2 linked regions of the Caenorhabditis elegans genome follow. The gene in region 1 interacts genetically with each later gene. Each region holds a gene or a part of one and is shown on either strand. Other genes may lie near its edges.

Region 1 (5,342 bases):
GCTGTGACGTCAAAAATGTATTAAAATACATTTCGCAAAATTACTTGAATAACCACTTTAATCAAAACAAAAAAACCAATTATAACAATTTGACGCTTGATTAACCATAATTGAAACATTGATTTTTCAGGTGGACCATTCCTTCCGACCGCTTCTACAGAGACTTCATGAAGTACGATTTCTTCCAAACCATGTCCGTCATTGGAGGACTTCTCCTTGTCATTGCCTACGGACCAGGAGGAGTGTCAGTCGATGACTACAAGAAAAGATGGTAGATACCCCATTAACACCAGTACTTATACGCATTTCTATGTCAAATCATTGCATTACACTCACTCACCCCGATAAATTTACCTGGATTGTTTATATAATTTATGAATCTGTTTCGATTTTTTCGATATTTCCTTTAATCAATATATTTAGAGTAGAACGTTTTCCCTCGGTTTCCCATCCAATGCTTCTTGTCGTAATGTTACAACTTCATATCTATTTCCTTTTATTTTTTTTTGTCATTTTCTTCCTTTCCCTAAAACTTCATGGACTATATGGGTTGTTTTCCAATGAAACTCTCCCTACAAACTTCTATTTTTCTCACACGAATCACAACTAAAACAGTCATTTTTCCACCACTTTCCTTTACTTTCTAATCGGCCTATCCCAATTTTCTTCTGGTAGTTTTGTTCCCGTAAAGAATAAACATTTTTCTGTCAGACAATCATTTTATTTGTTAAAGTTTTCTAATCACCCGAACAGTGAAAATAATTTAGCTGCTTGAAAAAGAAGACCCATTGGTAATACAATCAAAATAGAATTAACATGAGACGAAGAAACCGTATATCAAAAACCAGAAAGTGCTTGTAAGATGAAAAAGGCAGTCATCAAAATGATGCACATAGTTTCAAAGTAAATAAGTAGTAGAAATAAGAAAATTTTCGAATTTAGAACAAAACGGGAAAATTTTTTCACGCATCATTGAAATGTTCAGCCACATAAGACGTCCGTTTCACGGGTTGACGTGGATTGACAAGTGGCTTTCCATGTTTATCCAAGAATTTCTCGAGCACCAAGCCTCCGCTGTTACTCTCCACTTCATCTTCCGATATTCGACATTCGGCAATGATTTTGTCAATCACGTTGTCTGCATCGAATCTGAAAATGATTGAAAAATTAGGAAAAGAAATGCTCAGAATCAATATTTGACCAATTTTCAATTATTTTTATGGGACTCAATTCAAACATGAAACAGTAGAGTAGAGGAATTTGGGTCATTTCACTAATCTTCTTAACATGAATCAAAAAGGTCAAACTCGCCATGACTCTTTTTTTTTAATGTTTCAAAAAAGTTTCACCTTACCTGGAGTGTTGAATTTTTTGAGCAGATCGATCTTGACTAAATCGTCGTAGTTGGCAGGTTGGATGTTGTGGTGGATGTATTACTCGTCGTTCGACAACTGGTTCGTCGACTTGCGAGTTGCTAGCGGCGGATGAACTTTCTGAATAATTTTGGTCAAATTTTCACAAAAAAAGGAATTTGAACAAAACAGTTGTATTGTTTTATCATTCAACACGTAAATAAATTATAATCTCACTGTTGTTGAATTTTAGGCTCAGAATGCGTCGGGGAAATTATTGAAACTGACATTATGGGTCTCATAATTTAATATTTATAACATAAAAACAAGTAAAAATGTATTAAGTTTGAGGAGATAATTTCAAACTTCCGCGGGAGTCAATTGTTAACGTTTTAAGCGTCAGTTGCCAATTTATTTGTTTTCTTTAATTTAATAGTATTTTCAGACATATATAATTTTAACAGACTGCAATGATATGAAAAGCTTTTTGCAACTGCTAACGGAATACTCATGTATTTTTAAGTGAAATAGAGAGTGTTTTCAGTTTTACGTGAACTCCTCACATCTACAGCTCCTGCATTAAGCAAAAATAGAAATAACCTTAGAGTACATCGATTCACGAATCTCGAAATAATTACCTAGAACATCTACATTGGAAAGCTTCGGATGAGACGATGTTCCTTCTTCGGAATCAGTTTCATCGTCTGCTCGAAAACCATCTTGATCAATAGCTCCATCTTGTCGTGGACCGAACGTTGACAGGCGAGGCCTAAAGTAATCATGTTCATTAAACGGAAAATTATATGTGAACATACACTCTGAAGAATGGGTCTGCACTTTGATGTGTCATTGCAACTTTGATGCACACTTTGGAGTTATCCAATCTTTGATTGCTAGTGTAGCCGTTTAAAAGATAGGTCCTCGAGATTCCTTCAACACCGGAAGCTGCATATTCGGAGAGGTTGATATCGACAAAACCGAGCTTGTAATACGATTTTCCTCCTTTTTGTTCCTGAAAATGGGATAAAAGTTGAAGATAAATGGGGAATAAGTTTAGAATGTTGTTTTTTTAAATGAAAATTTGTATTTTTAAATAAACATTATTTCATATTGTGAGTATATTTTAGTAACCCCAATTTATTTCCAAATTCTCCTTACTTTTCTTATAGAAACTCGGCACAGACACTTTTCCAGTGTTCCCGAAGTTTGATCACATGGAATCCGACAGCAGAATACAAATCGTGTGTTGAATGAGGCGCTATGGTTTTTCACCTGAATTAAATAAATTTTCACTATGGCTATTTAAAAAAAAAGAAGTAACCGATAAATCATTTTGATCTTATTACACTCAAATAGGACGTAAATAACACAACAAAACTTCACAGAACCTTTCTCGATTTTTTGTGGATGTTTAAAATCGAATTTTAGCTAAAACTCTAATTTTGACCATTTTTTTCGTGTCACAGCGACCGAAGATATGTTTTATTTCGTAATAGTATTCTTTACCGCTGGGACTCAGATGTTGACAAAAATAGAGATTTTAGCTAAAATTAGATAGTGTTGGAAATTTTGAATTGCGATAATGAAATTTTCGAGTAACGTTTGAGTAGTCTCGTTACAAATCCCGATTTTTCTACCATTTGAAATATAATAAAATACAAATCTTTATCGGATACTCCTGATTTAATGAATGAGTGAATTTTTAAATAAAAAACCTACTTCAACTCGTTCCGTAGCTTCTTCAAACGATCCTCCATCTAGTAACCGCATTTTTCCAAAAACAGTGGCATTCACTAGTGGAACATCTGATAGTTGACATACCTGAAAATTTTATAAATTAATTTATATAAATTATATAAAGTTTACATTATATTTAAAAAAAACAAATCTTAACTCACTTGTAAATCCACTGAAAACTTGACTGTTTTCCGCTTGATGAAAGCCATTTTATTCCATAACCATGGCACGAAGACGAGCTTTGCTGAAATGAAATTCATTGTTGATTACAATAAAAATGAAAGTTAATTGTTAAAAATTTGTTATCAGCTACGCTATGTTGCGTGCTGTGCCGCAATAAAAGCAAATTTTATCTTTTTGGTTAATAAATTTCATGATTAAAATTGGTTCAACAAAAAAGTGATACAAAACGCGGTAAACTGTGCATTAAAATTCAAAACCCGCGGCATTTTTTTCTGACAAAATAAAAAAACAGAAATAAAACACCAAGCGCAGATCGAGAAATGCGCCAGCAGCACACTGGGTCGATGTTTTTTTTTAGGAAAAGGGAGACACATTGAAAAGGAGGACATATGGATGGACAACGGGACGGAGAGACACGTCGAGATTCGAGACGTCGACAGCAGATGGCAGCGAGAGGGGCTAAATGTTGCCCACGGAGACCTATTTGTGTTACATGAGGATTTTTGGAGAGACTACGTGAGCTGAACAAGTAATTAGTCAATGCGTCAGGGAAAAAGAAAGGCAGCTCCGATAGAATAATTCATAGAACATTTTCTCAAAGAAAACTAACTAGCCAGTAGATTTTAATCAAAAACTATGTTGTTTTAAACAACACTTGTAAATTTTGAAGTCTTTACTGAAGAGATTGACAACAATAAAATCAATGATTTTAACGAAAAACATGCAATAGAAGTAGATTGGTAGTTTTTTTTCGTTATTTTGGCATTATTTTCGTAATTTTTAAAATATCAATATAAAAATTTGAAGCCATAGGTTTTTCAACATTTAAATTAGGGAAAAGCTTCAACATTTCAATTAGAGGGGGTGCTATAGAAGTTGGACGCACTGTAAAATTGGAACATTTTTGTAGGGTTATTTCGCTATAATATCTGTTCGTAACAGAACAAAATTGATGAAACAAAACATTGGAACACAATTGACGTTTGCAAAAACCAGAATACATGTGTTTCACAGAGAAAGACCATATTTATTTTGTCACTTTGTAATTTTAAAAAGTATTACAATGTTGTATATTCTCTAATAAAGTTGGAGTACGGGCAATGCTAAAGCGGAATTTTTTTTATTTTGAGTTTCTCAAGAAATCTAAAGCACTGCCGTGTGTCCTAACCTCTACGATGTCGGAATATACAACTTTCCCAGATAATTTAACCATGAAACTGGAAAAAATACTCTTTTGAAAAAAGTGGTGAAACGTTTTTCCTGTTTTTTGACTCGAAAAAAAACACATGTTATGATATTTAATCATAGTTTCTCATCGTTTCCCCACTTGCGTTTTTCATCTTTTATTTGCAATAAAGTGCAATTATGACTTTATAAAATAAATAAACAACGCGTTCTTTTTAGGCCTCTACTGCTAAATGAGTAATGTTATACAATTCCAACAGTTAAAAAAATTCTGGGGCAAAATCAATTTTTTAACTCAGAAAATCTATTTAAGAGCCGACGTGCATAAGTGGTAGCATAAGAGCTAAACAATTTTACGCCACACTGATAATGAAAATATAAAACTTGATTTTTGTGGGAAGCGAGTTTTTTTTAAATTAAAAGTGCATTTCAAAAACATTTTTTTGTTTTAATTTCATATTTTAGAAAATAATTGTTTTTTGTAAAAATTAGTACTATTTTTTACCTTTCATGGAATATCTTGTATTACAATACAAAATTTTCAAGCTCAAATTCAATTCAGTTGTACAAAAATTCTGATCATTTTTTTATCTGATCTAACACTTGATGGATTAGTTTTGAAAGTTCTAGACGACCTTTGAAAATTCAAACTGTTTCTCAACAACAGTTCTGTTTTCAAATGTAGTCAAACATCACTTTTTAGAAATCACATACCTGAATGTTTTTTTGTGAAAATGCATATTTAAGTAGTCTTACCAACAAGCATAGTTTAGCTTTAAATAAATGCTTTGAATCTTTGAATCTGAGCGAAACAAATTTTCAATTTTTTTTTGCAGTAGGAATGCGTTCTAATTGCCATTTTCTTTTTTTATCTATCACGATTTG
Region 2 (4,910 bases), on another chromosome or scaffold:
GGCAACATTTGAATCCACCGAATAGATTGACACAACGATCTCCGACTCCACCACAAACCGAGTCATTCTCCACACATTCATTGATATCGACGCATTTTTTGTGTGGGTCTCCACGGAAACCATCGATGCAAGCACAAGTTGCATTGGAGCAAATTGCGTTGTCACCACATCCTCCAGAGCAAAATGCTCCCTGGTCTGAAACTTATGAGCTTACTTAAAGTAATTTGGGCAAAATGTAACTCACCTTTAATACATGTGGCGTCATCTTGTCCATTTTTGCAACAAACGTATCCTCCGTCCAAATTCAAGCATCTTCCGCCATCTGAGCATGGTGTATCTTTGGCATCACATTCATTAATATCGTGACATGTGATTCCATCTCCTGTGTATCCAGTTTTACAGTCACAGATGTCTAGGACAATGTGACAAGATGCGTGTCTATCACAGATTGCAGAGTTTTTACGGCAAGACGATTTTGCTGAAATGGTGGAAATTATATATTTAGGTAAATCAGTGCTGTTAAAACGCATAATTTTTCATTCTTTGTCTTAGCTTTCTGAAATTTATTTCGTATTTACCCTCACGTTCTCGCAAAAATTAAAAAGTTGCTAGAAGTGCAAGAATGTGCGACGAATGTACAACCAAAATATTTCAAAATTTACAGGGTAGTTTGACGGAATGCCCACACTTACGTTGACAATTCTTTCCATCTCCTTCAAAACCTTCCTCGCATTCACATTCATATCCACCAATAGTATTGACACAATCAGCACGTACATCGCATTTATGAAGTTTCTCAGATCCACATTCATTTACATCTTCACACTTTCCATCAATTAGCTCATACCCGGGAGAGCATTTATTGACACATTTGAATGATCCAATTGAGTTTTCGCAGATTTCGTCTGCGTCGCAGTTATGGGCTCCAGTCTCACATTCGTTGATATCTGCGCATTTGTCAAGACCAGATCCCTGGTTTCCCTGGAAATTAGGATTTTATACTTTTTGATCCCACAAAGTTTGGTCTTTTTTCGAAGTCACAAAATCATTCTAAATTCAAATTTTGTAACTTTGCTCGATACTTTCCCACCCATTTGACACTTTGTTCTCTTCAATCATCCATGAAATTGAATTTATATATATATATATACATATATGGCATGACTAAAGTGGAAGAATTCCAAGTCTCATTTCTCAAGTTTTCAAGTACTTGTTTTTCGAATTTTTAGATTAAAAATAGATTCTTATGTTTGTGATAATTATGGCAAAAGCCTACTTTTGGTGTGAACCCTTGTGTGCAATTACAGTAGTAAGTTCCAGGCAGGTTGATACATTTAGAATGTTCTGGGCATCTAGATGTAAGTTTATCTGAGCATTCATCAATATCAGTACATTCGTGTCCATTTCCTTCATATCCTGGCAGACACCGACACTCATAGGATCCCAACGTGTTTTGACATTGAGCCATCATATGGCAAGGATGCTCCAAACATTCATTCTTATCTTGAAGCTCACAAGCTGAACCAGAGAATCCGGAATCACAATAGCATTGAGGTTTGGCTCCATCGTAGAGACACGCTCCTTTCCCACTACATGTTGACTGGCATTTGTGTTCTGAAAGAAAATTGATTGGAAACCTGCACTTTGAAAAAAAAAAGGCTAACCACAATAAGGGAAAACTTCATCGTGCATAGCAGGATTCACAAAACAATCTTGTTTTCCATCGCATAAAGAGCTCATGTTATGAATATGCAGGTCTGTTGGATCGGAGCTGAAAATTCAAAATTTTAAACCAGTTTTTTGTCCTTTTTCTCTCCTTGATCCCACAAAGTTTGGTCTTTTTTCGAGGTCACAAAATCATTCTAAATTCAAATTTTGCAACTTTGCTCGATATTCTCCCACCCATTTGACACTTTGTTCTTTTCAATCATCCATGAAATTGATTTTTTGTGTTGCTATTCTCTCAAGGTTAACAACTCTTCGGTGTTCCAAAAAAAAGTTTATGACACCTCTGTGTCACTCTTTTGATACGCCTGTTTTCTTGCCTGATGACCCATTTGGTTTTCTTTTAATTGGCTGTTTTTGGGCACTACTGTCAGAATTCAAGAGAAATTTTAACTTAGAAATTTGGAAAACAAAGAATTGATAAACAAGATATCTCTTAAATTTTCCAGACAATCTAGTTTGGATGTTCACATCCATATAACTTGCTAGTTTAATCAGTTTAAGAATTTCAATAACTAAATGCTCACCTGTGCTGACAAATAACTGTTGATGTATCGAAATTTACAACAAATGTGGGTCGAAGATCTGGAGTTGATGAGTTCACAAAGTTTTTAGCGATTTGATGACTCCCTGAAAAAAAAAACAACTTTACTGAAACTGTTTTCTATTTTATATCTGAGCAAGTTGGATGTTTTTTAACTCTAGGTAAAATGTGAATCATGGGCAGTCTTTGAAGTGTCAAAGCTTGCGTAAAAGTTCCCAACATTTAATCTATCTGTTCCCAAATACCAATTGTTCATGTCATGTCATTTTTCTTAACCAACAACACACAAGACCACCGCAATTCCAATCATCAAACATGTTGTTTCCCGCCGTCATAAATGGGTCAGTGATGACCTTGGCAGGCTGGATACAGGCGGCACCGGGGCACCTCCGCTCTCGCCCCAAAAAGTAACCGAAAAAGTGAGATGGAAGATGAAGTAGTGGGTACAACTACTTGTAAAAACGGAAGATCAAGAAAACGGTTGAATGACACATTTGTAAAAATCCATAGGTGAAGCCATATGGTTTCAGTTTTATGAGTTTGCTTTCATGGTGTTTTACTAGGTGGGCTGTAGATCAAAGGTAAAAGATTTTGAAACAAAACGTCGAGTTCATGAAGCTTTTGGTAAAATTTGTTGGTTATCTAGTTCTAATTTTTGGATCTGCATCACTTACTGTGAATTAAATCCCCAAATGTCAGATACTAGTGTTCAATGTGCTCTTAGCGTAGCTTTTTGCTCAAGATTTTTTGGCAAGTTTTTAGCTAAGCTTGACCCAAATTAGAAATTTTTTATCCCCGTATTAAACCCGTATTATGTAATATTTTCAAACCAATACCTCTGCACAGGGCTAGTAGCACCAACGGGGTGATGAACCATGGTGAGGAGCAGGAGCCCCGGCTCCTCGTAGACATTCCTGCAAAATTCAATTTTCAACAAGTCTGCACTTTTTCCTGTCAAATTGCACTTTCGAAGAAGAAAGATGACTATCAATTAGAAAAACACGCGGCGAAAGGAAACGGGAGAGAGAAAAAGATAGAACTTAAAAAACGATATATGTAAATGGGAGTGTGATACCTACCGAAAAGGTGATGGAACTGTAATTGGATAAAAGTTGAAAAATGGAATCTGATTATTCCAATAGCAGAGATAAGGTATTTGATGGGTAAGTGCGTATGCTGTGTCTATGAAAATAAAAGTACAAAGAGCAAATTGACCTAGATATGATAACTAAAATCTGACAGGCATACGTTTTTGTCTTTAAATATTCTTATACAAATTATTACCCGGTCGAGGCGTTATAGAGGTGTCTTTCACACGCCTTTTCTTTAGATTTTATAAGGGCGAGAGCCGATAAGGACAAGAGCTGGGCTTGAACTGCGAGTCCAATCAAACCACATAATCATATTGTTGAGCATGATTTGAAACGTACAAAAAATACGAGATATGAACCGTAAGAGTAGCTGCCAGGGTGAAGCAATAAGGCGGAAAATGGTATCTAACGCCTTCCCGGGTTCTTTGATTACCGTTTCTGCATCAAAGTAAAGATTAAATTTTTCATTCGATAAACATCCAGAAGATCTTGGAAGCCTAAAACAATTCAAAGATCTTGTTTGAATTCTATCGATCTAGAGTTTAATCTACATAGATTAATCTCAGTTTTCAGAACACAGTTCTATCGTTTTTACAGTTCATTAAAACTAGCTTGTTCATTAATCCAATGAGCTGTTCAAAATCAAGAACCTGTGAGTGGGCAGCTCACACTAAATTAGGCTTTGTAGATTTGTCACAGATTGTTAGTGATACATATAAAAAATCATTAGAAAAATTAATTTTAGGTCAAATTATTTTGAGATGAAAAAATGTTCTGAATCTTCAAACATAATGCCTAGAGCATAAAAGTTTTCGAAGTGCACACGCCTACAGATGCAAGTACATATAACTGAATTGTTTGACCCTTACACTTTCCGACCATCTTTCTCTTTTTGAACCTTTTAAACTAACAAAACACATGCAAAACTCAGTTGCAAAAACTACGAGGATCACGCACCAAACTCTCTCCACGCCTCAAAATTTTCTTCATGCATTTCCGTTCGGTTCCGTTCAAAACACTTGAGATTGAGTAGTAATAGTAGATGTGGGGGGATTCCACGGACTACACTGCTTAATGGGGTTACGGTCTCATTCTTCTTTGCATGTGCAAATAGTGGAATAAACACATCTTTTCTGGGATGGATAGACGCAACAACCAAAACACGAAGATTAAAAAGTTTAGACTGTGCAATTTTTTTTGGAAGAGAGATTATTTTTAAGTTTCGACCGGCAACCAACTTTTAATCACCGGAGAGGATCAAAGATAAGCTTGAACTAATAAATTATTAGAATTGTACATTTAATATTCAAGCTTTATAAGTGAATGTGATCTAAAAGTGTTGAGCTCCAAATTTTGAAACTTTGAGCATTAAATTGGGAATATCCTACCTCCTTATTTAAAAACTTTGGGCTTCGAATCTGCCATTTTGATATAGGAGTTTTTTTTCAAACTAAATTAAAGAAGGTTTCTCATGTACAGTATGATTGCTTCAACTAGGGAGATCATACAACCGTGAAGTTTATGCTTAGTTTTTTTTACTAATCAAAAAA

Evidence for each region.
Region 2: of sym-3 (region 1) and fbn-1, changing one enhances a phenotype caused by changing the other (phenotypic enhancement), as found in Caenorhabditis elegans (one study listed by BioGRID).

What each region holds. Positions count from the first base shown.
Region 1 is NC_003284.9:5,774,242-5,779,583, reverse strand, and holds sym-3 (C2 NT-type domain-containing protein), read right to left. Parts: upstream 3,334-5,342; 5' UTR 3,299-3,333; coding exon 3,251-3,298; intron 3,174-3,250; coding exon 3,072-3,173; intron 2,625-3,071; coding exon 2,511-2,624; intron 2,365-2,510; coding exon 2,168-2,364; coding exon of another isoform or gene 2,152-2,167; exon of another isoform or gene 2,124-2,151; intron 2,122-2,123; coding exon 1,991-2,121; intron 1,494-1,990; coding exon 1,355-1,493; intron 1,150-1,354; coding exon 963-1,149; 3' UTR 706-962; downstream 1-705. Other genes in the region: sft-4 (Surfeit locus protein 4 homolog), read left to right, coding at 131-275.
Region 2 is NC_003281.10:7,623,657-7,628,566, reverse strand, and holds the start of fbn-1 (EGF-like domain-containing protein), read right to left. Parts: upstream 3,182-4,910; coding exon 3,106-3,181; intron 2,626-3,105; exon of another isoform or gene 2,574-2,625; intron 2,356-2,573; coding exon 2,253-2,355; intron 1,772-2,252; coding exon 1,665-1,771; intron 1,615-1,664; coding exon 1,277-1,614; intron 982-1,276; coding exon 693-981; intron 479-692; coding exon 245-478; intron 196-244; coding exon 1-195.